Stegostoma tigrinum: one gene and its partners. The protein of the gene in region 2 binds, or shares a complex with, the protein of the main gene of each other region. Links are inferred from orthologs where the notes say so. Each region holds a gene or a part of one and is shown on either strand. Other genes may lie near its edges.

The links.
Region 1: the proteins of guanine nucleotide-binding protein G(i) subunit alpha-3 (region 2) and metabotropic glutamate receptor 4-like are in contact, whole or in part, in a cryo-EM structure (PDB 8JD6), measured with the Homo sapiens proteins. The link is inferred for Stegostoma tigrinum from reciprocal best matches to the Homo sapiens genes GNAI3 and GRM4. Residues at the interface, in NP_006487.1 of Homo sapiens: Ala31, Lys32, Val34, Lys192, Asp193, Leu194, Thr219, Phe336, Thr340, Ile343, Ile344, Asn347, Leu348, Cys351, Gly352, Leu353, Tyr354; in NP_000832.1 of Homo sapiens: Pro616, Lys619, Ala620, Gly622, Arg623, Glu624, Arg676, Ile677, Ile680, Phe681, Gln683, Gly684, Lys685, Arg686, Ser687, Val688, Ser689, Ala690, Ile694, Ser695, Pro696, Phe781.
Region 3: the proteins of guanine nucleotide-binding protein G(i) subunit alpha-3 (region 2) and short transient receptor potential channel 5-like are in contact, whole or in part, in a cryo-EM structure (PDB 8GVX), measured with the Homo sapiens proteins. The link is inferred for Stegostoma tigrinum from reciprocal best matches to the Homo sapiens genes GNAI3 and TRPC5. Residues at the interface, in NP_006487.1 of Homo sapiens: Arg205, Arg208, Lys209, Trp211, Ile212, His213, Phe215, Glu216, Glu245, Leu249, Ser252, Asn256, Lys257, Trp258, Arg312; in NP_036603.1 of Homo sapiens: Thr27, Glu32, Glu33, Glu56, Ile57, Tyr58, Tyr59, Asn60, Lys125, Pro128, Thr129, Leu130, Met131.
Region 4: the proteins of guanine nucleotide-binding protein G(i) subunit alpha-3 (region 2) and casr are in contact, whole or in part, in a cryo-EM structure (PDB 8SZH), measured with the Homo sapiens proteins. The link is inferred for Stegostoma tigrinum from reciprocal best matches to the Homo sapiens genes GNAI3 and CASR. Residues at the interface, in NP_006487.1 of Homo sapiens: Ala31, Lys32, Gln304, Glu308, Lys314, Asp315, Thr316, Lys317, Glu318, Ile319, Tyr320, Thr321, Phe334, Asp337, Ala338, Thr340, Asp341, Ile343, Ile344, Lys345, Asn347, Leu348, Glu350, Cys351, Gly352, Leu353, Tyr354; in NP_000379.3 of Homo sapiens: Lys644, Ala645, Asn647, Arg701, Val702, Val705, Phe706, Ala708, Lys709, Pro711, Thr712, Arg716, Trp719, Phe801, Ile869, Val872, Arg873, Thr876, Ala877, Ala880, Phe881, Lys882, Val883, Ala884, Ala885, Arg886.

What each region holds. Positions count from the first base shown.
Region 1 is NC_081374.1:28,927,723-28,935,657, forward strand, and holds the start of metabotropic glutamate receptor 4-like, read left to right. Parts: upstream 1-4,922; 5' UTR 4,923-5,656; intron 5,657-6,424; exon of another isoform or gene 6,425-6,484; intron 6,485-7,935.
Region 2 is NC_081374.1:11,653,707-11,661,277, forward strand, and holds the start of guanine nucleotide-binding protein G(i) subunit alpha-3, read right to left. Parts: upstream 3,218-7,571; 5' UTR 2,830-3,217; coding exon 2,712-2,829; intron 2,625-2,711; exon of another isoform or gene 2,519-2,624; intron 1-2,518. UniProt on the Homo sapiens protein: Heterotrimeric guanine nucleotide-binding proteins (G proteins) function as transducers downstream of G protein-coupled receptors (GPCRs) in numerous signaling cascades.
Region 3 is NC_081368.1:25,286,484-25,294,778, reverse strand, and holds the start of short transient receptor potential channel 5-like, read left to right. Parts: upstream 1-4,992; 5' UTR 4,993-5,954; intron 5,955-7,443; exon of another isoform or gene 7,444-7,753; intron 7,754-8,058; exon of another isoform or gene 8,059-8,142; intron 8,143-8,295. UniProt on the Homo sapiens protein: Forms a receptor-activated non-selective calcium permeant cation channel. Mediates calcium-dependent phosphatidylserine externalization and apoptosis in neurons via its association with PLSCR1.
Region 4 is NC_081365.1:36,572,237-36,580,026, reverse strand, and holds the start of casr (extracellular calcium-sensing receptor), read left to right. Parts: upstream 1-4,484; 5' UTR 4,485-4,599; intron 4,600-7,790. UniProt on the Homo sapiens protein: G-protein-coupled receptor that senses changes in the extracellular concentration of calcium ions and plays a key role in maintaining calcium homeostasis.

The DNA of each region.
Region 1 (7,935 bases), about 17 Mb from region 2:
AACCAGGTGAACCATTTAACCTAATGTTTATTTTAATTGGTTTTGATTTGGACATCATGAAACAACTTACTTGCTCTAAACCAGAGGTAGGTGGATTTTCCAGTGTGTGCACTCTCCTGGATATCAGCCTCAGACTTCTCTTACTCTGTTTAGGTCCAGTGGAACTCTTTTGCTGTCTCAGGTCTGTGCAACTACAATGCCTTGCCAGCTCGGATAGTGAATAAAATTCTAACTGTTTGGCGAAGGCTTGGCTTTGTTTTGGAGTTTTGCTGTGTGTGACTTCAAGTCCACCTGTTGAGGATATGCCCTACGTGAGGCTATGCAACTGCCTTTATTCAAATGGTATTCCCCAAGCTCAGTTGGACTGTGAGGGTGTCCATTTCCATCAGAATACCCCACAACTCTCATGCTCCACTTGCCACATTTTCCAATGACAAGGCCAGTTGTATTGCCTGTTTGAAACCCAGTTGGGTTTCACCTAGAAGGGGTTTCTGCATTGTTACATCATTAACCTCACATACCAAATGGTCTTCAGCATCTTATTAAGCGGTAAACCAAAATTATATGCCTCTGCCAGTTGTAATAACCTCAAAAATCCCAATACTGACTCCCCTGATTTTGTAATTGTTGAATAAAACTGACAGCCTCTTAGAATTAGATATGGCTTGGAGTCATAATATTCCTTAGCTAACTCTCAATTCTTGGAAGGTTGTAGTATCTGGTGCCTCAGAGAAAGTTAGGCTCAGAATAACTACTAGAGGTGGTAGCCTCATGGTATTATTGCTGGACTGGTAATCCAGGGACCTAGATAATGTTCTGCAAGCTTGGGTTCAAATCCTACCACAGCAGATAATGGAATTTAGTAACCAAAAAAAAAACTCTGGATTTAAAAGTCTATTGATGATCATGAAGTCATTGTTGATTATCCAAAAAAGAACTGATTCACTAATGCCCTTAAGGAAGGAAACTGCCATCCTTACTTGGTCTAGCCTACATGTAACTCCAGACCCATAGCAATGTGGTGACTCTTAAACTGCCCTCCGGGCATTTAGGGATGGGCAATAAATGCTGGCCTAGCCAGCAATACCCTCATTCTGTGAAGGAGTCAAGGAAAAAGCAGCTGCAAGTTGTCAAGCTACCCAGAGAAATACTTATTGCTTTTCATCTGCCCCAAAATCATTTGCCCAACAAAAAGCACATCTTTCCACATACTGGGCCCAGTCTTTGATGACAGGATTGAATGAGTCAAGCTTCCCAATAATGCCAGAAATTCTTAACCCAACTCAAAGACAACTGTTGCAAGTAAGTTTCTTCAGGGGTGTGCATTTGTTTCACCATCATTGAAGTAACTCGATGGAAGCTGGTATCCTATCACCAAGTCCCCCCTTATGGCTCCTTTAGATCCAGCTCAGTGTGAACAGGGTGTCTGACATTCTGCTCTATAAATTGGTCAACCAGGGCTCCCTGATTGGATCCTGATGATTAGGGAGCATTCTCCTCATATTTGACTGCCTTTAGAACTTCTTTTGTAACATTTTTTGAAATTGGTGAGGGACTTCATCAGTGTCACGTAAATCATTTATTTAAAAGTGAAAATCTGATAAAAGGAAAAACATCAGGCACCTCCTGTACTCCAAATTCCACCCACAGTTCAAAGTGGAAAACGGTTTTTTAAAAAAAAAAGCCAAAAAGAAACTGCATGTTTGCTATTCCAAATCTCCTGGAAGGACAATATCAGTCAGGGTATTGGCTTAAAGTTAATCAGTCACTGTCACAGCTCCAATTAAGTTCAGGTTTCACACAGACCTTGAGACAGCAGTCAAACCATTAGCTAAGGAAAACAATATCCTGAAAGAGAAAGAATCAAATAACTCAATTGAAAATGAGAGGGAAGGAAGATAGAGGTAATTGTTCATTTCATTATTTCTTGTAAGCTGACAGTACTTTTGTTTAATACATATTGGTATTAAGAAAAACATTTTTATTCCATGTAAGTTACACAGGTGGCATTGATCAAATATGTTTTAGTTGTGATCACTATAAGAAACAGGTACGCAATCCAAACAATTATCCATTTTTTTTGGTCGTACTGCATACTGGAAATTTCAGCAGGTACCATTTACATTTTAATCTTGAAGTTTTTGAAAGAGGCGAAAGGAATGTGATATATTTCCAGATTTGAACATTTGTAATATTGTCACCTCCGCTGCCATCTCTGTTGGTTACCAATTGATGCTTAGTTACAATGAGTGCACTTTATGAGCGTTCTTCAAACCATCTTTTTCTAGTCAACCTGTTCAGAGACATCATTCCATACCTCTGGAGCATGTGAGACTTGAACACGGGCTTCTTGATCCAGGGTGCTTAGCTTCCAAGATCGAATGTTTTGCTACTAGCGTGGCTGCAGTGATGGGTGTTCTTCAATGCAATACACACAAGACTTTACCCAATTCGGGTCAATTGTGTTATGAAATTAGGCAATTGAGGCTTTGGAGGTAAAACTAAGTGACAATTCATGAACACGTTACGCAGGAAGGGGCCCCACTATAATATGGAAAACGTGGTGAGGCCTTCTGTTACGTGTTTGCTTTAAATAATATAGTAAGGTCAGGTCTGCACTCAGGTAAGTGAGCGTTGATTGACTTTGAGATAGGGGCGAAGCGAGTGTATTTGAGATCCGACATAGTTTTTACGTTCCATCTCATTCTGCCAACATTATGAAATCGCCAATTGAAATCGACCTAGTAATTATTGCAGCTCATCATACTATAATAGTCAGTGTACATGGTTATCCTCTATAATAAGTAACTATCTTGCGCATGTTTTTCACGGAACGTTTTGAAAAGGGGTACTTTAACACAAACCAATCCCGCTAATTGAAAATAGGATTTAATCAGAATATTATAGGCATATAATGTCTTTAAGTACCCTCCTTTTGCATCAAACGAATGTTAAAACATTTTATCTCGCGTCAACCCTCCGACGATGTTGAAAGCAAAAAGAAATGCGACGTTAGTTTATAAAATTCCAAATATTGGTATAACTAGGAATGGCTGTGAATAAATCTTAAATGAAAAATCTGATTATTCAGGTATTATTCACAGAATACTTTCTCTCACTCACTAAACAGGAAAATTTAGACTTTCAAAGGGAGCCAGCGGGCTGGTGCTGCTCAGACATCCGGATATTTTGTTGGTTCAAACCCAACAATCGATAGTTGAAGCAGATCTGAGCACTAGACGGCGCCTTAAACCGTCAAACAGAGCGCCAAGCTCTCTGTTCGGTTTCAGAAGATTAGAAATGCGGCAAACTTTTTGGGTAGTAGGAGCAATAGGATGTCGTATTGTAACGGCAGGCTTAATTATCCTGCTACACCTCAGTTTAAATAGAAGCTCCCAATTTGCTTATCTTTTAGCATTCTGTTTTGACAAACAGAATGCCCTTTAAAGATCAAGTCGATATTAAATTACTTACAAGAGGATTAATTGGACTTGGTGTCACTTGGAGGTTAACTAAGGGAGTTGCACTAATTACACATTAATTCCACATGTAGGTACTTGTGAACCGTTATTGCAATCACCAGCCGCTTATTCTTCAGCTCGAGGTGTTCCAGTGATTTTTACCATCAATCAATTCAACTCCGCAATTCCCACTTCTGTAGAAAATACACTGCTCAGTGTACGCTCCGTCAGTGATTCTAACAGTTTCCCATCCTCCCTAACCGCGTTGTACGTCACTTTCACCTGAAGGATGGTTGCACGTGCTTTACCCTGAAACATGAAAGCAAGGCTCAAACTACCAAACTGTATATTTTTTTAAATAACCAAGCGATTTCGGAGTTTGTGTGCGTTGAGATCCTCACACACTAGTCCTCCCTCTTCTAGGGAGAATGTGCCTTCAATACGTGCGCTGTTGTTTGTTTTTGGTATACATTATATATCTCCTCAAATTGCCTGGGCTGTTTGCTGGATATTATCCGTTGGTCAATATTGCATATGGGGAAACCCACACTTCGCCAGAACTCAGGCTGTGAGCGTTTCATTACTTTTGCGAATCAAGCTAAGATTGTTGCCAGCTGAGAGCTGTTCCAAACAAATATCGGCCATGTGCAAGGTGCATGCTACGAAGCTCAAGTTTTCAGATTCGAAAAGGAGGACAGGGATCCTTAAACTAATTTTGCTGACATCTCGGTCTTCGACTCTGCGTATAGTTTTTGGGAGTCAGACAAACCATGGTCTCATCGACTGGCGGAGCAGGATCCAGGGGCCGAATGGCCTACTTTCGCCCCTGCTGGGAGAGCCACATCTGTGTTGCTGGACGTTTCACCTGCCCACTGCCATTTGCGCGATGCACTTACTTTCATGCGCCACCTCCATCCAGTTATTACCCATTTCAATGACTTGAATTTGAGATTGAGACTAGTTCGAGTTCAAAAGAAAAACCCCCTAAACTTCAAGGGACATTTTTTGATTTGCACCCATCAAATTTATTAGGAAAGCTCTATACATAAATCAATTCAACTCCGGAACAGTGATTATTAATTTAAGGTCAATTAAAATCCGGTCTCCATTTTGTGTTATAGTTAATCTTATTTCTTGTTTTACGTGTGTACTTTGTTCGAAACAACTTTTTCTAAAAGCAACATTTTCCTTTTGATCACCATAGTTACATAAATTTACTGACTTCTTTTCCAAACCAGATGAAATGTACTGAAATTCCAGGTCGTCTTCAAAAAGGTACTTCAAAATGATACTGACAGACGGACATTTGGAAAACGTTCAGTACACCTCTGGTACAAACTGAAACGCCTCGTGTTTAATGGTGCCTTCACTGAAGAGAGTGCATTGGTTTAAGTGAGCTGGCCCCAAGGTTCAGTAAAATAGTGAAATATGCGATTTGAAGCAGTGGCTGGGCGCCGCTTTTTGTAGCATCGCAAATGTGTTTTTTTTTGCCTCAGCAGGCGAGGACCTTCTGATTTTAATCATTTGGGAATTGAGTGCTGGACGGAAAGAATTGTAAATGAATGCCCAAAGCCAAATATCGGAATACAGTCGTTTCCACCCACCCCCCGCCGTCTCCGCCGCCAAGAACCCAGATCGATTTCTGGAATTATGATCGTTCTGTTCGTGCGAAATCCAATTCGTCTGGCAAAAAGAGGAGCTCTTCGCTATGTTAAATTGACGGAATAGGTACCTGTGAGCGTAGGGAGGCGGCAGGAGGGAGTTGCTGAGATGTGAAATCAGCGGCACAGAGCTAGCGGAATCCCTGGCTTTTTTTAAAAAAACAGTCACTCGGAGAGCCGGATGGGAACTGAAGACATTCATTACAAGACGTGTCGTGTTGCGTAGGGTATTTATACAGTTCGGTTCGGTTTCGCCTCCTGGCTCACTGGTGGCGAGGAATTGCAAAGGCATAAGACGGGTCCTCGGAGCGACTCCTTGTCATCAATGGATACTTTCCAGCCGACTTAGACCGTGGGTCGTTCCAACAATTCGTGGGCGATCCCACTGGCGCTTGCTCAAAAGCAAGCTACCACAAGCTTGTAGAATTTCAGAGGCAAAGCTGAACGTGAAGACTGCACAGGACCAGCGAGCTGGAACCTCTCTATTTACAATGACTGAGCATCGCAATCTCCAACTACAAACCCCGTCTCAAGGTATGGTGAACTCCTCTTTCCCACCCCACTCTACCAAATCAAGCCCGCAAACCTCAGCCGCCGTTAGCTGTCCGTGTGAAGCGGGCTGCAGTTTCCCAAACGGTGGTTGGGCTCCGACTATTCAACATTGCGCACGGACTGTTTAAAGCAGGGCGGTTACACATAGCGGAGGCTCCGGGCATCCTGTTTAACACAATAAAACAAAAGTTGCAAATACTGCAGAAGTTGCCCTCTAGCAATGGGCACCATTCTCGGTAGCTCACCTTTTAATGAAAAGCACCTGGGGAAAGAGATTCCTTGGTCTGGTAGCTTGGCCGGAACCGATGTGGGGAAATTGAGGCCGGGTTGATTTAAAAAGCTATTTACATAATTAGTTGAGAGATGTGCAGCATACGGAACCCCCAGTGGGATTACCTTTCGAGCAAGGTTGATGCTGGCTGTTAATCTCTTTATTAATGACACATCTATTGCATCAATAACAGTCAACATAGGATCTGGGAAAGAAAAGAGCTCTCGGGATTAAGCTGGGCTGTACTGTTATTCAAATTGACGGGCGGTGTGCGGGTAGCGAGTTTGCTGGATATGGGCAGCGCTGATCTGTCCATGGTGCTGAACTGACTGACGACAGGGTTAAAGCCTCTTGTTATCCTGTGCACTAGAAATAGGGGGAGAACTTTGCATCGCTTGCGGATATATCCATCTGCTCTGAAGTGAGGTAGTATGTCTCCTTCATCACTGCAGGGCTAGTAGGACATGCAAGAAGACTATTTTAAGAACTGTTTTGATTCTTCCGAATTAAAATCTGCTTCAGCTTTCAACGAAACACAGGTATGAGAGGATTTTAACGAGGTCATCCCACAGTTCTCAATGGACTGAAATGGTGCACGATTAGAAATTAAAAAAAACATACTTAAGTCAGTTGATGGAAATCGGTGTTCTAGTGTTCCATAAGTATCTCCCGGTTTCAATGGGTCACGTTCCGCTTTACAATATAGTGTGTAATGAGATGCAGCTGCTTCAAGCTGTTAAGCGATTCGTTCGGATAAAGGGGGATGAAATTAGCTTTGCTTTGGGATTTGAAAAGAGGCACGCATCGATTCTAATCGGTATTAATGTGAAAAACAGACTGCACGACCTTTCCCCTTTGTTAGAATAATTGCAGTTTGAATCTTATTTTCAACTGCTGACAGTACTTTGCTAGTTGCAAGAAGGTAGTTACTAGCTATTTCTGCAGAGTGGTTAAATGTTAAAGAGCTGGGTGAAACCTTGTATATTTCACATAAACATTGAACACGTCTCAATAAGTCGACTTACAGACCTTCCCAGATAGGATGGAATGAATTGATCATTTTTCATCGGAAGGGTAGAGTGACTAGTACTATCTATGCACGGGAATGTCAGACCGCCAAGGTTCATTCTGTTCCGCCCTCTCCGCCAGCGTTCCCATTGCCCACAGTCCCACACTCAAAGCGCCTCAGAGCCAGAGAATGACGAATATAATAGTGGTTAGACTAAATACTTAAGACAGGGACATCTGATTGCTCTTTTCGACGGCCCACGGTCATAGTAGCAGCAGTATTTTAACATAGATGGGTTTTATTGGGTTTGATTTAATAGTTGTGTAAATTTATTGGGTACAGCGAACAGCAATTCGCCTGTCTGGGTCAGGATAATATACTTAAGAACGTTCCTTCAGATAGATTTATTGTGCATGCCGATATTACCTCAGCTAAGAGAAGTTTAACCCTTTCAGATTTCTGCCCATACATAGAACATGCTTCGTACTTAAAGGGGAAGCAAATGATGCATGATTTATAGTTAATAATGAGCTATTCCTATATCATATTATTTGGATAGCTTAAATAGCAATCGAAGTTCGTCCTTGGAAACATCAGCACAGTAGTTATTTGCTTGTATAGTTGGCATTACAAAGCCTAAGACACCTTTGTTGCAATAATGATGTGCATTATAGCAGACATTTACTTAAAAGCAAAATGGTGGTTGACAGTAATGGGCAGTTTTATTCTTTTTACTTTGTAGACAAGTAGCACAGTTTAAAAACAATGATTCTATTTCAAGTCCAGTTAGCTTTTGTGTGCCACCAACAAAACAAGTTATAGTACTGGCAGGGGTTCTGTGTTGTGACTGAATAGGACTATTAGGCTCTTAACACTGTCGTCCTGAAAGAAAGACAGGCTTTGGAGTCTGTTTTCATTCAAACCCTGAGGCCAATGTTTGACCATACTTTTAGTTCCAGAAATGGCATGCACTAAGAAAGG
Region 2 (7,571 bases):
GAGGCAATGGCCTAGTCGTATTATTGCTAGACTGGTAATCCAGAGTGTTTGATAACTTCTGAGCCTGGGTTCAAATCCTGCCAGTGCAGACGGTGGAATTTGAATTTAATAACATATCTGGAATTAAGAATCTAATGATGACCATGCATTGACTGGTGGAAATGCCCATCTGGTTCACTAATATGCCTTAGGGAAGGCAAGTGCCATCCTTATGTGGCCCGGCCTGCGAGAGACTCCAGACCCACAGCAACGTAGTTGACTCAACTACCTTTTGGGCAATTAGGGATGGACAATGAATGCTGCCCAGCCAGCAGTGTCCACATCCCATTAATGAATAAAGGAGGTTGGAGGATGTCAGTGAAGCTCTGTCTCAACTTGAAAGACTGTTTAGGGCCCTGGATGGAGGTGAGCAAGGTGGTGTGTGGGCAGGTGCTGCAATTTTACAGTTACAGGGGAAGGTACCAAATGGGTAGAAGTGGTTGGTGGGGAGTGTGGTAAGAACTCAGGAATAGTGATGGGAATGGTCCTTGCAGAAGGCAGAAGGGATGGGGAGTGGAAGATGTTCCAGGTGGTGGAGTCTCATGGAGTTGGAAGTATTTGAGGATGATCTGTTGGATGTGGAAGCTGGAGGGGAGGGAAGTGTGGACAAGAGGGACCCAATCTTTATTATACCCTGACTCATGAATTTCCCTGTTCCTGAAACTTACTAATTTTATCCAGTAATCTTATTACTAAACTTCTAATGTAAGCTGGCAAAGACTGCCATGTTGGGGTAGGCCACAGTCACAGCTACAATTTGCAGCTGGACCTTGTCTCATTAGAACATAAATAGGAGTAGGAGTCGGACAACTGGCCCATCGAGCCTGCTCCACATTTCAGCAAGATCATGGCTGACCATTTTGTGGATTCATCTCCATTTACCCATCTACCATAACCCTTAATTCCTTGACTGTTCAAAAATCTTTATCATAAAAACAGATAAGATAGCCTCAGCTGTTTCACTGGGCATGGAATTCCACAGATTCACAACCCTTTGGGTGAAGAAGTTCTTTCTCAACTCAGCCTGATTCTGCTCTTCCTTATAGTGAGAGTATGCCCTTAGCTCCAGTTTCAACTGCCAGTGGAAACAACCTCTTTGCTTCTATCTTATCAATTCCCTTCATAACATTACATTTCTATAAGATCCCCACGCATTTTTCTAAACTCCAATGAGTATAGTCCCAGACTAGTCAAACTCTGACATAAACCAACACTCCTAATTCAAGAATCAACCTGGTGAAAGTCCACTGCACCCCCTCCGGTGTCAGTATATCCTCTCTCAACTAAGGGGAACAAAACTGTGCAGAGTATTCCAGCTGAAGCGTTATCTCCATATTTTTAAACTCCATCCCTAGGGCAATGAATGACAATATTCTATGTCTCAGTTCAGTGGGATGGAAGCAATGTATTTTGTGGGCTAATGAGGAATGAATTATGTATTAGAATTCCGTTTATAATACCCAAGCAAATACACTAACATCCACCCAAATGCCCTTGAAACATACTGCAGCCACAGCATTGCCTCACCTCACTTTATGGTCTTTGCCAACTCACATCCTTGAAATCAGAAATCTGCAACATATCAGCACTTCCCCAATCATCCAAATTTCTCACCAGTCAATCTCCCACACCAGGGCAAAAACAGCACCCTCACAGAATGGGTAAATAAATGATCTTAACTGCAAACACAGCAAATGGGTAAAATCTCGCATCCTCAACTGTACATTTGGATGGAGGGATTATCTCAAATGCACTTCTGGTAGGTGTGGGTTAAATAATCCTACCCCCACAAAACCCTAACCCCTGGCAGGTGGGCAAAATCCTCCACCCCGACAAAACCCTCACATCCAGTGGGTGGGCAAAATGCCCCACCCCCTCCCCCCCCAACTTCGGCAGGTGGGCAAAATCCCCCACCCGCCCCAACAACCTCACCTCCGGTAGGTGGGCAAAACCCCCACCCACCCCCCCCAAACCCTCACCTCCGGCGGGTGGGCAAACTCCCCCACCTCCCCCCCAAAACCCTCACCTCCGGCAGGTGGGCAAAATCCCCCACCACCATGCCGCCCAAAACCCCCACGTTCGGCAGGTGGGCAAAATCCCCCACCCGCCCCAACACCCTCACCTCCGGCAGGTGGGCAAAATCGCCCGCCCCCCCCACCAAAACCCTCACCTCCGGCGGGTGGGCAAACTCCCCCTCCCCCACCCCGGCGGGTGGTCAAGAACCCCCACCCCCTAAAACCTCCACCTCCAGCGGGTGGGCAAAATGCCCCACCCCCCACAAAACCCCCACCTCCGGCGGGTGGGCAAAATCCACTCAAAACCCTCAGCTCCGGCGGGTGTTGGCTAAATAATCCCCCAACCCCAAACCTTCACCTCCGGCAGACGGGCAAACTCTCCGATCTTCAGCCCCGCAAAAAAATAAACTCCCACCTCAGTGGGTTCACACCCAATTCAAACCCCAAAGAGAAATCATACGAACCCTGCCTTTGATCTGAAACTCGAATCTTTTCTAACACCGGGGTAGGACGCAGGGTTGGGTGTTAGCCTGAGGTTTTAAAGAGTCAAAGTCAGACCCTGGAGACCCCAGAGAAACCTACAACTCCGGCCTCGAGTGCAGTTACAAAGCGCTCTGTTGTCGCCGCTACTATTGTTCTTTGATAACGACTGATTACCCAGCAGCAGAAGTTTGACCTCCCTGGACGACTTCTCGCCGTCTTCCTTCAGGTTGCGGTCGATCATTTTGCTCCTGGCCATCGCCGCCTTGTCCTCTGCGCTCATGGTGCAGCCCATCCCGGCAGCCGGACAGGGGACCCGGACTCCGGGGCCGAAAGCAAGGGTGAATAAGGAAGGGGGCCTTAGGAAAATCCCCTCACACCGGGGAAAAGAGATTGGGGGGTGGGGGAAGGGTTGGGGGCCGCGAAAAGAAAAAAAAACACGAACTCCCTTCTCAGGCGGTGCAACGAAACAGAAGGAATTTATGTATTTCTTTTCTTCTTTTACATCGGTAATTCGTTCGCACAATCGAAAAAAAAATACGCGTACAAACGCTTCGAGAGAGGAGAAGATCACTTAAAAGAAGTAAAGTTTTAACCGCAGGGACCGTTAACAATTCAAAACCCGCGATCGCTCGAGGGCGGCCAGAGCGAGCCGCGACGGTTAGACTGAGAAAACGGAAACCCGCCCAACCGGAAATCGTCGACGCGCAAGGCCCGACGGGAGGTGTAGTTCGGCCGTCGATGCACCTGAGCACAACTGCGAATGACACCCTTCCCCCGACACGACGCGCGAGGTACTGTGGGAGCTGTAGTTCAGCTGCCGACGCACTTCAGGCGAGCCCACCACACCGTATCAGAGATAATGGGAACTGCAGATGCTGGAGATTCCAAGATAATAAAATGTGAGGCTGGATGAACACAGCAGGCCAAGCAGCATCTCAGGAGCACAAAAGCTGACGTTTCGGGCCTAGACCCTTCATCAGAGAGGGGGATGGGGGGAGGGAACTGGAATAAATAGGGAGAGAGGGGGAGGCGGACCGAAGATGGAGAGAAAAGAAGATAGGTGGAGAGAGTGTAGGTGGGGAGGTAGGGAGGGGATAGGTCAGTCCAGGGAAGACAGACAGGTCAAGGAGGTGGGATGAGGTTAGTAGGTAGCTGGGGGTGCGGCTTGGGGTGGGAGGAAGGGATGGGTGAGAGGAAGAACAGGTTAGGGAGGCAGAGACAGGTTGGACTGGTTTTGGGATGCAGTGGGTGGGGGGGAAGAGCTGGGCTGGTTGTGTGGTTGCAGGAACAGCAACTCATATTCCGCCTGGGAACCCTGCAGCCATATGGTATCAATGTGGACTTCACCAGTTTCAAAATCTCCCCTTCCCCCACTGCATCCCTCAACCAGCCCAGTTCATCCCCTCCCCCCACTGCACCACACAACCAGCCCAGCTCTTCCCCCCCACCCACTGCATCCCAAAACCAGTCCAACCTGTCTCTGCCTCCCTAACCGGTTCTTCCTCTCACCCATCCCTTCCTCCCACCCCAAGCCGCACCCCCAGCTACCTACTAACCTCATCCCACCTCCTTGACCTGTCCGTCTTCCCTGGACTGACCTATCCCCTCCCTACCTCCCCACCTACACCCTCTCCACCTATCTTCTTTACTCTCCATCTTCGGTCCGCCTCCCCCTCTCTCCCTATTTATTCCAGTTCCCTCCCCCCATCCCCCTCTCTGATGAAGGGTCTAGGCCCGAAACGTCAGCTTTTGTGCTCCTGAGATGCTGCTTGGCCTGCTGTGTTCATCCAGCCTCACATTTTATTACCACCACACCGTACACGCGCACGCGCGCGCACCCTCCCTCTCCCTTGCCCTCCCCATTTAGTGCCCGCGCACACATGAATCAATGGGATGAATTTGTACTTGCAGATACATTTCATTTTGTTCAAAAAACACACCATTTAGGGACAGTCAGTCAATATGGCGTTTTATAAATTAATACTTTAGAAATAAAACCAGTCTGACACCGAACAAAAACACAATCAAGTTTTAATCAAGGTCAGACACCTAACATGCATTGTCTGTTCGAAATGTCACCTCTGCTTCACACTGATAAAATCTTCAGTTCTTCCAGGTCCATGACTTGAAAGAAATTTGGGAATTTACATATACATTTTAATCAGTTAAAACCTTCTAACTGATTAAAATTTAATAGATTTAAAACATTTAACAAAAGTTTGTTTAGTACATCCTCATGAATGGTGTGAACCTTTGATCTCTTACTTATACATTCTGCGTCTGATATTACCTCTCTCACTAACACCTGAAGAAGGACTGAAGCTCCGAAAGCTCATGTTTTTAAATAAACCTGTTGGACTATAACCTGGTGTCGTGTGATTTCAGACCTGACACACCAAGACATAAGCAGTGGGAGGGCAGAGATGTGGTCAGTAGTACTACAGCAACAACTCTGAAGGAGGATCTTGGCCCGAAACATCAATTTTTCTGCTCCTCTGACGCTGTCTGGCCTGCTATGTTCCTCCAGCTCCACTCTATTATCTATGACTCCAGCATCTGCAGTTCTTACTATCTCTCATGTAGGTAGGAGAGTGCCTTTATTGCATTCCTGTTCTTCTCCTCACTGCTTGAATGAGCGGAGGCCAAAGGGAGCATTGCAAAGGCTTTCTGAAGAAATGCAACAGAGATTTAAGAAGAAACAGACGTGAAATAATCTCTTGTGTGAGGGGATACAATTTTTGAGAACACCCGTTGCCAAGAGGAAGTGCGGGAAAGGAATGGGAGAAAGGAATACTAACATGTAAGGACTACTTCCACCTACGTTCCAAATGTATGATTGGAGATGATGCTCTAGGATTAGGCTCATCAGTTACATGTTGACTATGACTAGTGACATGGAATTTCCTCGGTGGACAACCATACTCAATAGTGACTGATTGCCAACAGCAAGTTGAGAGAATTTAAAGTTCTGCCACCCAACACAAAAAGTCATCTGAGGGCAAAGATTTTACACTTATCTCTTTATATATTGACATATTCCCTCCTTCTATATTTGTTTGAATTTGCTCAAAAGAGAGACACATTGACGCGGTGAGATAACTAGGTGTAGAGCTGGATGAACACAGCAGGTTAAGCAGCATCATAGGAGCAGGAAGGCTGACATTTCAGGCCTAGACCCTTCTTCAGAAAAAGTGTTGCATCTTGGTCTTAGTGGGACTATTGTAAGAAAACCAAATTTCAAACAAACACAACAGTTTAGAGCGTGCATTCGGCATTTCCGCTTTTGTTCTGATGCAAAGTGGAAAGTTTGGCATTCACCAACGTTCATTCCTGGGATGTGAAGGCCAGGAACAAGGCAATTTGCTGCTCATTTCCCTGGATCAGGTGGTTTTGAAAAACCTGTTCTAATATTGCTTTATGGTGGATGTAGTTTAATACATCCGTTAACATACTGTTATGAAGTTTTTTCATAACAGTTGTTCATTGTGTATCTGACTTAATTTTTACAAGGCATCAAAAAGTAATTGGGACTCATTTTTAAAGGTGCTTCATGAAAGAGCGTCCAACAGGTATAAACTTAAAACTTGAGTGGTAACCGTTGAGAAAGTCGCAACTAAAATTCAACCCTAACCTGAGGCAATATCAAATCATAAACAATTTCCAGCATGGGTGAAGTTTAATTTCCTTCATTCAATCTTTCATGTGACCTGGGTGTCACTGACAAGGCCAGCAATTGTTGCCCATCCATAATAGCCCTTGAATTGTGTTGCTTTCTAGGTCAGTTCAGAGTCAACCATATTACTGGTGAGTTTGGAGTCACTTGCAAAGATAGCAGATCTGGATGTAAGTTTGCTCGCTGAGCTGGAAGGTTCGTTTTCAGATGTTTCGTCACCATTCTAGGTAACATCATCAGTGAGATGTTACCTGGAATGGTGACGAAACGTCTGAAAACAAACCTTCCAGCTCGGTGAGCAAACTTACATCCAGAACCTCAACCTGAGCTACAAATCTTCTCAAAACTCAATAGCAGATTTTATCCTGTAGAGGACATTAGTGAACCTGATGGGATTTTATGATAATTCATGATACTAATTAGCTTTCAATTCCAAAATCATTAATTGCATTTATATTCCATTAGCTGGCATGGCGAGATTTGAACCCATGAATCTCAGAGTAATAGCCTGGCTCTCTGCGTTACTCATCCAGTGACATTACCACTGCACAACCGGAAAGTGATGGTTTTTCTTCTTGCAATATTCTGAAGTACCATGGTGAATCGTTTTGACCCCTCTACCAGTAAAGGCAAAAAATACTAGGAACTGCAAACACAGCACTGGCCAGGAATTGAATTTAGGAAACTTTCTGGTTTTAATATTTATTTCCAAATTGGTCAACAAATGAAAACCAACAAAAAGTATATATTTTAGCTCACTTCTCCAAGCTCCTTTTTAGTTACACTTCAACATTATTTTAGGAAGTTGGAAAAAGGCACTTTCGAAACCCAGAACACCACAGATCATAATGTTACCATTACATTTATTTACATAGATGACAACTTGAATATATAAAACATCATAAAAATGAAATGTTTGTACTTATGTAATATCTTTCACGTAACCAGGATGTCTTAAAAAGCTTTATTGCCATTTAAGTTCATTTGAAGTGTTGTCACTGTAGTAATGCCAGAAACACAACAATCAATTTCTTCACCAATCAAGAGTTGGCCAGCAATTGCTGAGCTGTAGCAATTAAAATGAAATGCAATTTACTCATTTTCGTAACGCAATATCTAAATAATGTGTAAAATGAAACGTAAGTACAATGTGCACATTTTGTCTGCATCATGTGACTTCTTATCATATCATGTGTCAACAGTTTCCATTCTAAACTTTAAAGTATTCATTTATCATGGGAAGTGCATATGTACTCTATCACTCTGATGGTGACATCCTACTGCTGCTTTCCAATAATCCTTTTAAATTTCTTTCTGAACGTTTTCACATTTTCTATGCATTCTACGTCTCGAGCACTCAA
Region 3 (8,295 bases), on a different chromosome or scaffold from region 2:
GTGGAAAGTCATCTTGGGGCCTGGGATGGGGATGAGGGAGGAGGTGTGGGGGCAAGTGTAGCACTTCCTGCGGTTGCAGGGGAAGGTGCCGGGTGTGGTGGGGTTGGAGGGGAGTGTGGAGCGAACAAGGGTGTCATGGAAAGAGTGGTCTCTCCGGAAGGCAGACAAGGGTGGGGATGGAAAAATATCTTGGGTGGTGGGGTCGGATTGTAGATGGCGGAAGTGTCGGAGGATGATGCGTTGTATCTGGAGGTTGGTGGGGTGGTGTGTGAGAATGAGGGGGATCCTCTTGGGGCGGTTGTGGCGGGGTAGGGTGTGAGGGATGTGTTGCGGGAAATGCGGGAGACGCGGTCAAGGGTGTTCTCGACCACTGCGGGGGGAAAGTTGCGGTCCTAGATAATTGCCTAGATAATGACTAGATAATTAACTTGTTTGATGAGAGATTTCAGCTTTAGAGCTGGTCAAACCATTGGGTTGATTATTTAAATATTTAGATCTTTCCTTTCCTACTATTTTACAGCCATCTAGGTTATGGTGACTAAGCATTTCAATATATAAGATATTTCCTAAATATTCAAACTAGCCCCACATATACGCAAGTTCAAAAATTTTTTAAAAATCTATTGATATCTTGTCTGGTACAGATCTGACTTTCAAGTTATATTTGAATGCACAGTTGGATCGAAATGTACAATCCTGAGGGGTCCTGGAGACTTATTTTTCTCTGTTGCACTCTCCCTTTCTCTTCCCTAACCAAAACTGCAAATGAATTCAGCTCAGGTAATGTCAATTGTCTTTCAAGCACACATTCATCCCCAGCATCAATTGTGCTGTAATTGATTATCTCACTTGGACAGCATATAAGGATTGCTGATGTGAAAAATCAAAATTTCACAGTTTAAGGCACTATTTGAAGACTGAAGATCTGTTGGTGAAACACAATGATCATTAAATATTATGCCTCTGACCTGTGCATGTTCATGTATCAATAATCTGTTACACTTAATTCAGTGTCATGTCATTTCCATTGCCACTAAAATCATCCAATGTTGGGAGATGTGAGAGACATCAGAGAGGATGTAATTTAGGAGATGTGACTGTATTTAGAATGCCTATGGAGGTGCATGGATGTTCACTGATTACTTTTCTAATTGTGGTAATTTGTTTCATCTTTGGTCTGCATGTTGATAACAAAGTTTTGATTGTATAAACCACTTTGAGATAGTTATCCAGAGTAGAGAAATCACATCTGTTCTTCAGTCATTGAAATCCACGTACTGAGGTGTACAAATGGCATTGAATTATTCTGCCTTTCACGTGCAAAGTATTTGATCTGAATGATTTATCGTCAATTGTGTGTTATAGCGAATAATAAAGTAAAATAGAGTGACCAGCTTCAACTGTTTCCATAATTCAGCCCCATTTTGAGTAGCTTAAGAATATAAAGAATAAAAAGATTTAGCTGAAAGAAAGTCTTTCTTCGTTCTGCCACATCCTTCATGAGTCCTGAGCCCTGAGCTGGCTCACCAACAACACCTGAGTCACCAGCCCTCCTCCACCATCTCACCAGCCAGACATCAGACCCACCAATGTCAGAACCAGCATTCTTCAGGCACCATCTCTTCACCACTGGGCCCACCTTGCCAATATCGCTGCCAATACAGGGTCCAATGCTGGACCCACACACACCCTGCAACCAGAAGCCCCATCTGTGTCTTCTCTCAACTTTATTCCTTTTGCCTAAATGCGCAAACATTGCATTGAGATACAGTTCATGGGAGCTGGCTTACCCTTTGAATAAGAGTCTGTTCTTCATGTATTAGTATTGACAGTGCATTTGGAAGTCTATTGCAATCTTCCAGTGGAGGATGGGGAAGAGATTAGCGCTGGTGTTTGTACAAATGCATTGAATATGGGTATGGGAGCCATGACATCCACCTTTACTAGTCAAATCGGTGAAGCCAAATGTTACACTCCAAATGCAATGCTGGCAAGAATCTATTATGAATGCACAGATTTTTGGGCAGCACGGTGGCTCAGTGGTTAGCACTGCTGCCTCACAGCACCAGAGACCCAGGTTCGATTCTAGCCTCGGGTGTCTGCCTGTGTGGAGTTTGCACATTCTCCCCGTGTCTGCATGCGTTTCCTCTGGGTGCTCTGGTTTCCTCCCACAGTCTAAAGATGTGCAGGCTAGGTGGATTGGCCATGCTAAATTGCCCATAGTGTTCAGGGTTGTGCAGCCGAGGTGGGTTATAGAGGATTGGGTCTGGATAGGATGCACTGAGGTTCGGTGTGGATTTGTTGGGCTGGAGGGCCTGTTTCCACACTGTAGGGACTCTAAATTCTAAATCTTAGATTGAGTTTCAAACATTGCATGCAATAATGTGCCCCAGTATTGGCACTGAGGTATTAAAATCAAATCACACATACAGAAAGTTTAAAGCAATTATTTGCAATTTTACTACACAGGAAACTCATAATGGAAATTGCTGCCACTCAATAAAAATATCCAAGAGACTGTCATTATTTTCTTTGGGTTCAGGAAATAAGACTTACAATATGACTATAAGAAAAATAAACCAGAAGTAAAGCTTAAAATAGAAAGTATGCATTTTTTCATCTAGTAAAATAAAGTATTTACTATACAACATTTTTTTTCCCTTTATTCATTAACAGGATGAGGGTGTTGCTGGCCAGGCAGCATTTAATACCCATCCCTAATAGCCCGAGGATAGTTTCAAGTCAACCACATTGCTGTGGGTCTGGGGTCACACGTAGGCCAGACCAGTAAAGACAGCAGTTTCCTTCCCTAAAGGATATTAGAGAACCAGATGGGTTTCCCCAACAATTGGCAACAGATTCACAGTCATCATTAGATTCTTAATTCCAGATATTTTTTATTGAATTCAAATTCCACCATTTGCCATGGCAGGATTCAAACCAGTGCCCCCAGAATGCTCTCTGGGTCTCTGGAGTAACAGTGCAGTGATAACACCACTAGGCCATCACCTCCCCTTTAACTTTAAATTGATTTCCTTTTTTGTTTACACAGAAACAGAAAACCATGACAAACAGCAGTGACAGGAGTAAACGGTATGCTCCCCTTAATTGCGATATATCTGAAGTGCCCAACAATCAATCCCTGTCTTGAAATACTCAAATAATGAGCAAACACAGCCCTCTAGAACAGAAAATCCAAAGATTCACAGATTCATGCCTTGGTGAATGAAGAAATTTCTTCTCATCTCAGTTCTAAATGACTCCTTGTTTTGATTGTGAGGCTTCGCAGAGAGGTTAAAATTGTAGCAGAGATAATAGGAACTGCAGATGGTGCAGAATCCAAGATAACAAGGTGTGGAGCTGGATGAACACAGCAGGTCAAGCAGCATCTGAGAGCAGGAAAGCTGATGTTAGTGGCGTCACCACCATGGCCTTCTAAGTCATACAGTTCCAAAGTTGCATAGTCCTTTGATAGAATGTTTTTCTTTACCTCATCACTAAAAGGAGAATCGCATTATAAACAAAAATAAAAATAACTGGAGAAACTCAGCAGGTCTGGCAGCATCTGAGGAAAAAGGGAAGAGCTATTATTTTGAGTCCGTTGACCTTCATCAGTTGTCCTGACAGATGCTTCCAGACCTATCAAATTTCACCAGCAACTTCTGTTTTGCTTCAGATTTCCAGCATTCACAGTTCTTTGTTTTGTTTCAGTTCTGTGACTCCTTTTTAACAATGGTTGCAGACTACCTAAGCAACTATGTCTGTTTTTAGCTGAGGAGACAAAAACTGCACACAGCATTCAGGCGTGATTTGGAAAACAAGTTCAATTTGAAATATTGTTTTTATAGTTAATCTTGATTAGTAGTTGAGCGCTCCCCTGAATCTTTGCTGTCTGCTCTTAATACACAATTATTATGCTCAAAAGCTGATGAAATACGTCAGAGGCTGTGATAGATTGCTGAATAAGTTCAAGCATTTCCAGAGCAATGTATTCTTAATTCACCAATGACCAAAAGATCCCAATTCTGTCACCACCAGTGTCTGTGTTCATCACAAATTTGAACCAAAAGATGGCTTGTGACTGTGATTTAACTGGGTGTAATCTGACCTGTTGTAAACTCTTCCTAATTTACTTAATTTGCTAAAGAAATGTTTTGCATAAAGTTTCTCTTGCCCCCATTGGCTAACATTAAAAACAATTCCAGACTACTCATGTATCTGCACTATTCACCTCTGATTGCTATTCTGATTTGTTCTCCCACTTACACACATTAGCTGAAGAGGTTAAATTGCACATACATGGAAGCTCAAGGGATATATTCTAAAAATGAAAATAAGCCATTTGTGACAAATGCCTAATTTGTTTACATACCATTAATAACACATTCTTTTTTCACTCCACTTTTAACCCAACCCACATTGTTTTATCCTCCACACCAGTGTATCTGAATAATGACGTTGAGATTGTGAAGGGGATTGACAGATTAGCAGTTGTTTTAGCAATAAAAGGCTGCCCACTCTGCTGTATCAGTGCCACCTTTGGCTCCATTAAACTTTCTTGCACCTTTATTCAGGGGATCATGAGTTCAAGCCTCAATCATGAGACACCAGTACTTAATGCAGGCAGGTACTTCAATGCAATGCTGCTGGCATGTTATTTTAGGGATAAAACGAGACACCAAGCTCCAATGAATGTGGAAAATTCCATGGTACTATTTGAAGAAGAACAAAAGCATGCTCCCAGATTTGTGTAATAATAGTCAAACACCCAACAACTAATAATAGATATTTTGGCTTTTTGGCTTGATGCAGTTTGTCAGAACTTGTGCACACCTCAGCTGTTACATTTCCGAGACTGAAACAGTGACTAGACTTTACAGGAACCTCATTGGCTACATCATGTATTTGAATATCCTAAAGGGGAGAAAGGTGCTACTTAAATCCAAGTTCTTTCCTTCCTTTGGAGATTGCAGGGTCAAGCCAAATCACCCCAGTTTTTGATTGTCCAGTGCTACATTGTTTAAAAAAGATCCCCTGGTTCTTGTCTATTCTGGGCAGTGAGAGCGCATGGGGAAATATCAAACAGATTCCATCCTGAGCAGCAAGGGGCCAAATGCTTTGCTAACGAGATGACAACAACATGAAGCATTGGAAACAGCAGTGTTTTCTTCAGCTCCCCAAACACCGGCGATCTCTGAAAGGGCAGGATGGATAAACAAAGGAGAGAAGAAGGAATGAGAGGATGAAAACGAAAGAAACGAAGGAGAACGCGAAGGAAAGAGCCTCATAACTTACCTGTCTCGGTTGCAGTGTTTGTGTGAGAGGCAGCCCCCGCTCTTGGGAGCATGTGTCAGCCCCAGTCGCGATCATACCAAAGGCTGATTGACTGGCGCCTCTGTCACATCAATGCAGAGCTGTACCTACATTACTGACCTATCGAAAATCCTGTCATCCAACAGAGAGAGAGAGAGAAGGGAAAATAACCTCCTGCCGTGGCTCCAGCGAGAGGGCTGAAGTGTGCCGGCTATTGTTAGAGGTTCGGAATGTACACCCCAGCCTCTCCTGGCTTCGCTATCTCGATGGAGAGCTGCGCGACCAGTTCCTAAAGGAGGATCTGGGGAAGCCGAGAGAGACTGACAACACACGCTTGTCTCCTGCACTTTTACCAGCAAGCCCCCACCACCGCGCCCCCCAGGCCCCCGAACCTGTAGGATATAATAATGTCTCCGACACGTTAAATTAAAAGCGAAGTGTCTTATGGCGGAAAAGTTCATTTGCACAACCGTCGTGTGCAGAGGGGAATTTTAAAAACGTTTGGGATCTTAACGATCTTCAGCGATTTACATTGTATCGTGCCGCGAAGTCTTCAGGATGACAACGTTTGTACAATTGCTGCGTTATAAATTCAGCGAAAACTACACTGCACCGATTTATGGGGGGAAACTAGCGTACAGGTAAATATAAATGTCTTTTTTTCCTGTTCTACTGCACCTACTTGACTACCTTTAAATCAAAGAATAAAACCTTTGTTTATTCATTAAGAATGACAACGTTTAGGATTTGGAATGATGCCACTGCGCGAGGCAAATGTAGGGTATTTTCTATACTCTTGTATAAACCACGTAATGAATAGGATAGATTTTAAGAAATAATCATGTTTAAAAACAAACACCAAAATGGACCCAGTAGACAGGGATCTGAACCGGTCCATCCAATAGCAGGCGGTGTTTCACTGGGGAGCTGTAAGATCTGCTCAGATGGACCTACGGGCAAAGGCTGGCGCTGGGAAGGTGTACATTTACAGTTACTCTGAACTCTTTCACACCCATGTTCTCCCCCACCATTACACAGCTTCTTATTTTAACAAGTCAACCGAATCTGTCAGGCGCAATAAACAGCTCAGTAAGTTTTCATTAAATCCGTCTGGAAAAAAGAAAATGCACTTTGCAAAATTTGCTGACAGTGGACAGATCTCGCCTTCAGACGATGGGTCCAATAAATCGACAGAACCACAAGCGCGTGAAACTACCATCCATTTCTGACTTGTTTATTTGGGGGGAAGTAGGCTGGGGTTTAGCGTCTCTCGGTCTTAACGGGTGGGTCTTGTACAAATTGCTCGTAGTTCTTTATTTTTGAATCTTCATCTTTGGTTCTACTGCACAGTAGTTTATAATATAACGACCCTGCCTGCCCCAGTGAGGCAATTCGATGACAATTTCAGCATCGAAGATACTAGTCATCTATGAACTGTGTGCGAGTCTTTCTTAATGGGGTCTCATCTTGCCGAACAGCTAAAGCCATTTCTCGGACTGTGGCAATATCTTCCCCCGCCAACCCACCCATCCCCAACACCCCATTACTAAGGTGTCCTGTTGAACATCACAATATCACAAACAGTGCAATTACTATCAAAGGCTGCTTTTTAGCAGCCAGCGGAGGGAAACAGCCTATAACATTTACATAGCGTTGTCGGTACTCACTATCTTTACAATCTCATTCCAGCAATTTTTAAATTGCCCCTTAGACAATTGCACAAATGTAAACATTCACAGCTGCTACCGGGGCAGAAGGGTTGGGGGTCTAGTCTGATTAATGCCGGGATCTCTGTTGCTGCAGTAAATAGTAGGGAACATGAAAGCTCGGGGAGCGGTCTTGCGAAAGAATTAATTATGAACTATTTGTTGAAGTGTTTAACATTGAATATTTAACCAGGGTTAGCAAACACCAATCTTGACAACTGGCATTGACGAAACAGTGACCGTGAGGCTGAAAGCAAGTAGTTAACCCCGTTTGGTTACGTTGTTCTCCCCCCAAAAAATTGAGGAGATTTATGAAGCTTTTCACTGTTATCTGTAAGCGCATTGACGTACGCTAGGGAGGTTCATTCTGATAGATATGATTCCAATTTCCGACCGAATCACCCTTCCCAGGAACACGTCCGTTAACCCCAGGGCTCACAGGCAATTTCACAAATCGACCACAAACTGGGGAAAGTCTGTGCGCGCAAGCCTTTAGAAGATAAATTCTAGGGATTCACCTCAACTGCGCCATCTCCAAAAGAAACGAACGGAACGGATCGAGTGAAGGGGTAAATTTTATTAGCGGTCACGGCTCGTAACTTTGGCGGAAGAGCTGTGGAAATCCCCAGAGAGAGATGGAGAGAGAGAAAAATACCTTGCCTAAGCGGTTTCAGAGCGTTTCCATCCAAATCACGTCGGGGAACTCGCGCGGAGATTCACCCCATAAAGTAAAGGTAAGGTCCCCATAGTCTGCACAGACCGTAGGGCTGCTCCGTCTTTAGAGAGAGAGATAGAGGGAGCTGCTGGTGGTTTAACCTGAGGGTCACCACTCCTCAGGTGAGGGCAGAGGTGGAGAAACAGAATCACTCATGGTAGCCTCAGCCAATGCGAGAATTGAACCCATGCGCCTAGACTTACAAAAAAACGACTAGATGACATAATGCAGAAGAAATTGCTCTTAGCTGAACACAGCAGGTAAGCAGAGTTTCGTGGCACCAATCCACCCAAAGGGAGTAAGGGAATAGAGAATAGCTCAGGACTGCGGTGCCATTTGCAGCGTCACTCTCTGTGAGACAAAGAAAACTGAGTTGGAGTCCCATTGCTTCCTTGAAGACCACGGCAGGTACGTTAACAGTCACTTCATAACATGACAGCTTGCAATTCGCAATAGTAACAACTTCCTATAGGCCGTGGGAGACCAGCCTTAGGTCCTGCAGAATTACAGTTTCTGGCATCTATTCCAGCAAAACTTAGTGACAGAAACATGCATCACTAG
Region 4 (7,790 bases), on a different chromosome or scaffold from region 2:
TGTTGATAAGAGGGTAATGAGGATGTAGTGCATTGAGCACTAAATAATCATGCACAATTGGTAGACTTTTCTCCTGAATATATTCTTTATGTACAAAATATACCAAAGCATTTGGTTTGACATATGGGAAGGTGACACCCTAGTGGTATTATTGTTAGACTATTAATCCAGAAACCTAGTTAATGTTCTGCAGATCCTGGGTTCAAATCCCACCTTGGTAAATAGTGGAATTTGAATTCAATTAAAAAATGTGGTATTAAGAATCTACTGATGACCGTGAAACTATTGGCAAGCGTCAGAACACAAATTCTCTCCAGGGAAGGAAATCTGCCATCTTCACCTAGTTTGACCTATATATGACTCGAGAGCAACACGGAAGTAGCTGACTCTCAGCTGCCCTCTGAAATGGCCTGCCAAACTACTCAGTTGTATTAATTGTGACAAAGTCTCAACAAAAAAATGAAACTGGATGGGCCACCCGGTATTAACTAGGCACCAGAAGAAACAACAGAAAAAAACAAACCTGTCAACCCTGAAAAGTCTTCCTTACTAACATCTAGTCCCAAATTGGGACAGTTGCCTCACAGACTAGTTAAGCAACAACCTGACATAGTCATACTCGTGAATCATATCTTACAATATCACAGACAACACTATCACCATCCCTGAATATGTCTTGGAAAAACCCAGCAGAGCTAGCAACATAACGTTGTACTGTCCGGGAGTCCTCAACATTGACTCTGGTTTCCCTGAAGTCTCATGGCTTCATTTTAAAAATGGGCAAGGATACCTCCTGCTGGTTACCATGTACTGCCCTCCCTCAGCTGATGAATCAGCACTCCTCCTTATTGAACAACACTTGGAGGAAGCACTGAGGGTGGCAAGGGTACAAAATATATTCTGAGTGGGGGATGTAAATTTCAGTGCCACTGATGGAGCTGGCCCAGTCCTAAAGGACACAGCTGCTATACTGGGTCTGCAGCAGATGGCAAGGGAACCAACCAGAGGGAAAATCATACTTGACTTCATCCTTATCAACTTGCCAGCCACAGATGCACCTGTCAATGACAGTAACAGTAAGAGTGACCACCGCACAGTCCTTTGTGGAGACAAAATCCTCCCTTCACATTGAATATATGTTGTATAGCACTATCACTGTGCTAAATGGGACAGATTTAGAACAAGATCTGGCAACTCAAGACTTTGGACATCCATGAGGTATCCATCAACAGCAGCAGAATTGCACACCCGCACAATCTGTACCCTCAAGGCCCAGCATACTTCACTCAATCATTACCATCAAGACAAGGGTTCACCCTATTTTGATGGAGAGTGCAAGAGGGCATGCCAGGACCAGCACCAGGCCTACCTAAAAATTAGGTATCAACCTAGTGAAGCTATCAAATAGGGCCACTGACATGCCAAACAACATAAGCAGCAGTGATAGAGCTAAGAGATCCCATGACAGCAGTTGAACGGTGAGAGGAGAGATCCTAGTTCACCCAGGGGACAATGAAGAGCCACATAGTTGAATAGGGAAAGAAAAAGGATGATGCCAAATGGGGTCTGAAGGGATCCAAAGTCAAGACGTAGTCAATCGAATATAAGAAACAAATTGACTAAATGGTTAAAATTAATGTGAATCCCACTAATCCATCTGTTTAGACAGGAGGTAGTTAAAAAGAAGAAAAAAGAAACAAAGAAGACAAGGCCTTGGTATTGGCACTTGAGTTCATATAAAATTAATAAAATGCCCGAATCATTGGGGAAAGCAACATAAGATGTCCAAAGTAATGCTGTCTGAGCCTGCTTTTTGTGTTATGGCCCCGTACTGAATGTCAACTCTTAGTGGTCTGGTTTGTGTCCATTTTCATCTTTTAGTTATTAAAATGTTGTTTGTGAATTTATGCGTTTTCGTTCCCTGGAGCTCAACGTCTGGGGATCCTGTGAGTTTGGTTTATATTTTGGGAATGTATGATGATGTGGAGGTGTGGTGTGTGTGTTCTTATCAGTTGAAACATTTATGGTTATGATGAGGAACCTTTAAGGAGCTATCAGAGATAGTAGGAACTGCAGATGCTGGAGAATCTGAGATAATGAGGTGTAGAGCTGGGTGAACACAGCAGGCCAAGCAGCATCAGAGGAGCAGGAAAGCTGACGTTTCGGGCCTAGACCCTTCTTCTGAAGAAGGGCCTTGACCCAAAACGTCAGCTTTTCTGCTCTTCTGATGCTGCTTGGCCTGTTGTGTTCATCCAGCTCTACACTTTGTTATCTCAGGAGCTATCAGTGGTTGTGTAAAAGAAAGACGTGCTATGAAATGTTGATTTACATTTGTTTCTCGGAAGCCTGGTTAAAAAAAATCTTTTTGGAACTGTTTGACTAAACCCAGTTGAAGAAGGAAAAATCAAGTCAAATGGCATAACCGACATCCTCTTTTCTTAAAATACTGTACAACCCGGGTTTTCTGTAGTTTGAGGAAAGAGCTCTGTGAAAATGCTTAATTTCAGGATCTTTACAATTGAATAATCATGTTTGGAATTTCATTTCCTGGCCTGGCCAGAGTGAACTTCTGAATATTATTTTAACCACAATTGAATCTTTAATTCCGAATAGCGTCCTAGACCCAACAATTGTCAACAGCTTCATCAATGACCTTCACTCTATCATAAGGTTGGAAATGGGGATGCTGGCTAATGATTGAAAATGTTCAGCACCATTCACAACATCTCAGATACTGAAGCAGACCATGTTCAAATGTAATAAGATCTGGACAATATCCGGGCTTGGGCTGACAAGTGGCAAGTAACATTTGTGCCACACAAATATCAGCCTACGACAATCACCAGTAAAAGAAAATCTAACCATCATTCCTTGACATTCAATGGAGTTGCCAACACTGAATCCCCCACTATCAACACCCTGGGGCTTATCATTGACCAGATACTCAACTTGATACAATTGCTATAAGAGCAAGTCAGAAGCTAGAAATACTGCGGGGAGTAACTCACCTCCTGTCTCCCCAAAGCCTGCCCACCATCTACAAGGCACAAGTCAGGAATATGATGGAATACTCCGCACTTGCCTGGATGAGGGCAGCTCTAACAACAGTCAAGAAGCTTGACGCCATCCAGGACAAAGCAGCCTAGTTGATTGGCACCACATCCGCAAGCATCCACTCCCTCCACCACCAATGCTCAGTAGCAGCAATGTGTACCATTTACAAGAAGCACTGCAGAAATTCATCAAAACCCTCAGACAGCATCTTCCAAACCCACGACCACTTCCATCTAAACAAGGGCAGCAGATACATGGGAACACCACCACCTGAAAATCCCCTTCCAAGTCACTCACTGTCCTGACTGGGGAATATATCGCCGTTCCTTCACTGTTACTGGATCAAAATCTCTGCTTGAAGACACTGTGGGTCAACTGATATCATGTGGACTGTAGCTGTTCAAGAAGACAGCTCACCACTATCTTCCCAAGGGCAACTAGGAATAGGCAATAAATACTGGCCAGCCAGTGATGTCCACATCTCACAAATAAAACAAATGTTAATTCATTTTATTGTCTTGTGAATCTGTGTTAATGAGGCAAAAAAATTGTTATCCTGAGGAGAAATCATCCTCAAGTTGAGGACAGTCGACAACAATGAGGCATTTTCATCTGAATCCTGATTTTACTTAAAAAAACTATTTATTCTCCTGCAATATATGCATTCTATTTTCACAGATGTTACTATTACAAAAACATTTTTCTTATATCTGGAAACAAAATAATAATGGTTTGAAGTCTTTGTGTATTATCATACATTTTGGCCAGTTTAATATTTGTAGGCCTTAACTGAAAGAGCCATACAATACAGGAACACTGAAGGAATTTTAATCTATGATTCCTTACAAGTCTCTGGAAGATTTACATTCACAATCACTACCAAAATAAATGAAGGAACTCTTTTTCTATTGGGCCTGGTGTAGGAGATATAAAAACCATGGCTCAAGGAGGCTTGACTACCGGACTGCAGGGCTGGGCTTTGATTTTATGTGTTGGTCAGGTTTGGAATTCTTGTATCTAAAAAAAGCCTTGCTAATTAGTGGTTAATGGTAATGAAGAGATGCATACTACCTTGAAATTCCTTTGTTTTGAAAAAGATCCCAACAAATTTCTTTCAACTTGAAATGATTGAACTGCAGCAGAGCTGTTCTTGAATGCAATATGCTTTCAAACAATGTCAGAAATTTCCTCACTCTTTTGAAACACAAGATTCAACAACTTCTCTAACAGTAGGACGATCGAGATCAATCATTAACCAAGATTATATCGTTTTGACCTTACTTAGAGTTTAGCGTGCATTGCATTAATGTGCAAAAGACTAAATTGCATTGAATTAACCCCAAGGAAAATATTGTTAGCTGAACTTCCCTGAAATGCAAAACAATACTGCTGGTCACCATTACAGGAACATACATCTGTGTTAATGAAATATTTCCAGCTATCAGAAGGTTATTAAAATATTTCCATAAGAATGTCCTCAGCTAAGGAAACTTTCCTGCAAGTCTCCTATTGTCATTGCATGAATAACTGACCAGGGTACCAAAGGTAAGAATTTGTTCAATCCCATTGCAGATCAGTTGTTTATTTATATTCTTTTTAGTAGAATTTGTAATTGCACTATAAGCCATATGTCCCTCTCTGTGGGTTTAACATGAGGTGAGATGGACAATAAACAGACTACAGCCATAATAAATCACTTTCAAGAGTGAAAGTGAACAGAATAAGTAATGACAGAGCTTAAAATGTGAGAACAATGTCTACCTATCAAAAATCATCGTTATTTCAATTGAAATCAAAAGTTAGGAATTAACCAGTAAGTAATTATATGTCCTCATGCGGGCCTTACATGAAGCACCGACCATCACATAAACATCAAATTAATTGTACCCCAAATATTGAACAACTAATGTGGTCCTAATGTGAGTTCTAGAAATAGGGTTTAAAGGGGATTGAATAGAGCGTTAAAATGATAGAATCTTGCTGGAAAAATGATGACTGTTTTTATTTGAAACAACTTGCAACAGATATATTCATCAGATAATTTCAGTAGATATGTAGGTTTGGAGCCGTCTAAAGTTAAAAAGTTGAGATCTCACAAGAAAACATCTCTGGAATTTTCAACTTTCTGCCCGGGTGGGAAATTACCATCACAATCATTTGCTTAATTTTCCCTTTCACGGGTTTCAATGGAAAGGGACATTGAGCAGCTTCTCTAACAGATGGTCAATTCTAAACATTGGATAAATGTTTAATCAGCAACATTCTACTTCTATGCATCAACATAAAGACATAATTGAGCCAATGAATATTTCAAAAGCAGCTAAAGTGCTTTCTTTTTAGTTAGATACATTGGATATGCACTTTTGAAAGGTATAATAGGAACGTTTGATTAAAATTCTCAAATAGAGAAATGTGACTTTATTCTGATGACTTTCTGCTGGAAATTATTTGCAGATGAGTTGTACCATGCAGCGAGCAAAAGTCAACTGCTTTCTGCTTCTCTTCTACCGTGAGGTTGACTATCTGAATAGATCAACTACATGAATGTTACCTTTCTTCACAGTTTTCAACACTGTGGAAGCATTTCGACTAAGAATTTTATTTCCTGCAAATACTCACTAAATTGAATTTAAAAGGAATTTTCACTTACTTGTGAAGTTAACAATATTTTGACTGTCATGAAGTGCAAATAACTTCAGGACATTATGACAATTCTGCAGTCCAGACTATGAATGTACCTCTGCATTATGGATCAAGAATATTAAAATCATTAAAAAGGCCATAGGCCAAAATAATGACAACACTTTCATATATTTAATTTAGTGACATGTTTCATTTAGTTACAACTTGCATTTATATGGATCAATAAGATTATAAAAGTCCTACATTGCTTCACGGCAACATAGTCTGTCAAAAATTGGAGCTGAGGCTGAGAAATAAATATTCGGAGGGGTGACTAAAAGCTTAATCAAAGAAAAAGGAGGGACTTACAAAGAAAAAGGAGGAAGATCTAGAAAAACAATAAGGGTTAGGAAGGGAATTCCAAAGGCCAGGGCCTGAATGGTTAATTCTATAGCCAAGAATGGTGGGGTCAAGAAAGTATGGCTTGCATAAAAGCCCAGGATCAATGCAAAGGAATCATATGGACCATTATTGCTACTGAGTTTCTGCCTAATGGGCATTGTTTAAATCAACCCTTGAATTTTTTTCCAAAGGATCTGTGATGGTAGGAACTGCTTACATAGCACTCCAAATTATAATTTCTTGTTATCAAAGCTTAGATATCACAATGGTCTAATGCAGTGGGAAACAGCCTACAATACGTTAGTATATATTTATCACCCATAGCCAGAAGTTTGAATTTTAACTAACACGTAAAGTTCTTTAAAGAAATAGATGTGTATGGTTGGCTTGTTTGACTGGGTAGTTATTACAATTTGAATTCTTCACCTGCTAACTGAAGAGATACTTGTGCGCATACAGCTATACTCAGTAAACTCTCATCTTAAAATGTCTGTATGAACAACCAACTTGGGTAAGGGTTAACAATTCAAAAACTAAATTGTTCAAATGTTTAAAGACTGAATATAAATAGTTAACTCATTGATTCTTGAAAAAAGTCCCCTTATTCAAATTAGTTCATGATCAATGATATTTTTTGAACGTGATGTGGTTATACATCTTCTTGCCACATTTAAAAAAACAAAGAACAGTAAAGCACAGGTACAGGCCCTTCCCCTTCCGAGTGTGGTCCGACACATTCATTGTGGGCCCAACATCCTTCCTATACATTGTAGAAGCACTCTGCTTTGATTCATAATTCAACAAGGTAGCGCCAAACCTAAAGCTATCCTTGTTGAGAAGACATATCACGATGAGGAAATAGAACGCATAATAACTGTCTAAACACAAAATACTGTGGATGCTGAAAATCTGAAACAAATACAGAGAATGCTGGAGAGACTCGGCAGATGTGGAACTATCTGTGGAAAGAGAAACAGGGCTTATATTTCAAGTCTGATAAGGCTCTGAAGAAGTCAGACTCAAAATGTTAAATCTGTTTTTCTCTCTATTGATATAAAAATAACTATTTCATTTATTTTAAAGAACAACAAAAAGTGCAGCATTTTCCTTTAGTTTCTTTCCTTCTGAGTACATCTGAATTCCCTACATTTTGTAGTTCTTGTTGTTTGGCATCTTTTATTAACTTGTCTTCTAGCTTGGTTGTAGCCACTAAAATTGTTTGGTCACGTGAGTATTCCTGGTATGAGCTATAATTCTTGTCCTTGTTAAACTAAAGCCTCTAGTTTGCTTTCTATCTTATTCTATACTGCTACTGTTTGAGTTTCCCCTCCTATTAATAAGATACCTCTAAAGATGTTTGTGATCTCTTTCTAGGGGCATGTCTACTCTGAGACTACATTGTCCTAAGAAAATGATTGCTTCCACTCTTTCACAAGGAATGACCACTGTTTTCAAAGATTTTAACATGCTGTCATCTCCAGATCTGAAACTGGTAGAAGTTTCAAATTCCTTAACTTTGTCCCATTCTATATTACTTAGAAAATCTAGGCAGCCCTTTGGCCAATCTAATCCATAGGCTGTAGATGTGCATCCACTGTCCAATACTGTTCGATTGAAAGACTACCACCAACACATTTGTCACCAGGTTGAAACTTCTTATGATAAACAACATGTTACCTCTTGATCCATTCTCCAACTTTTTCTTCCAAATT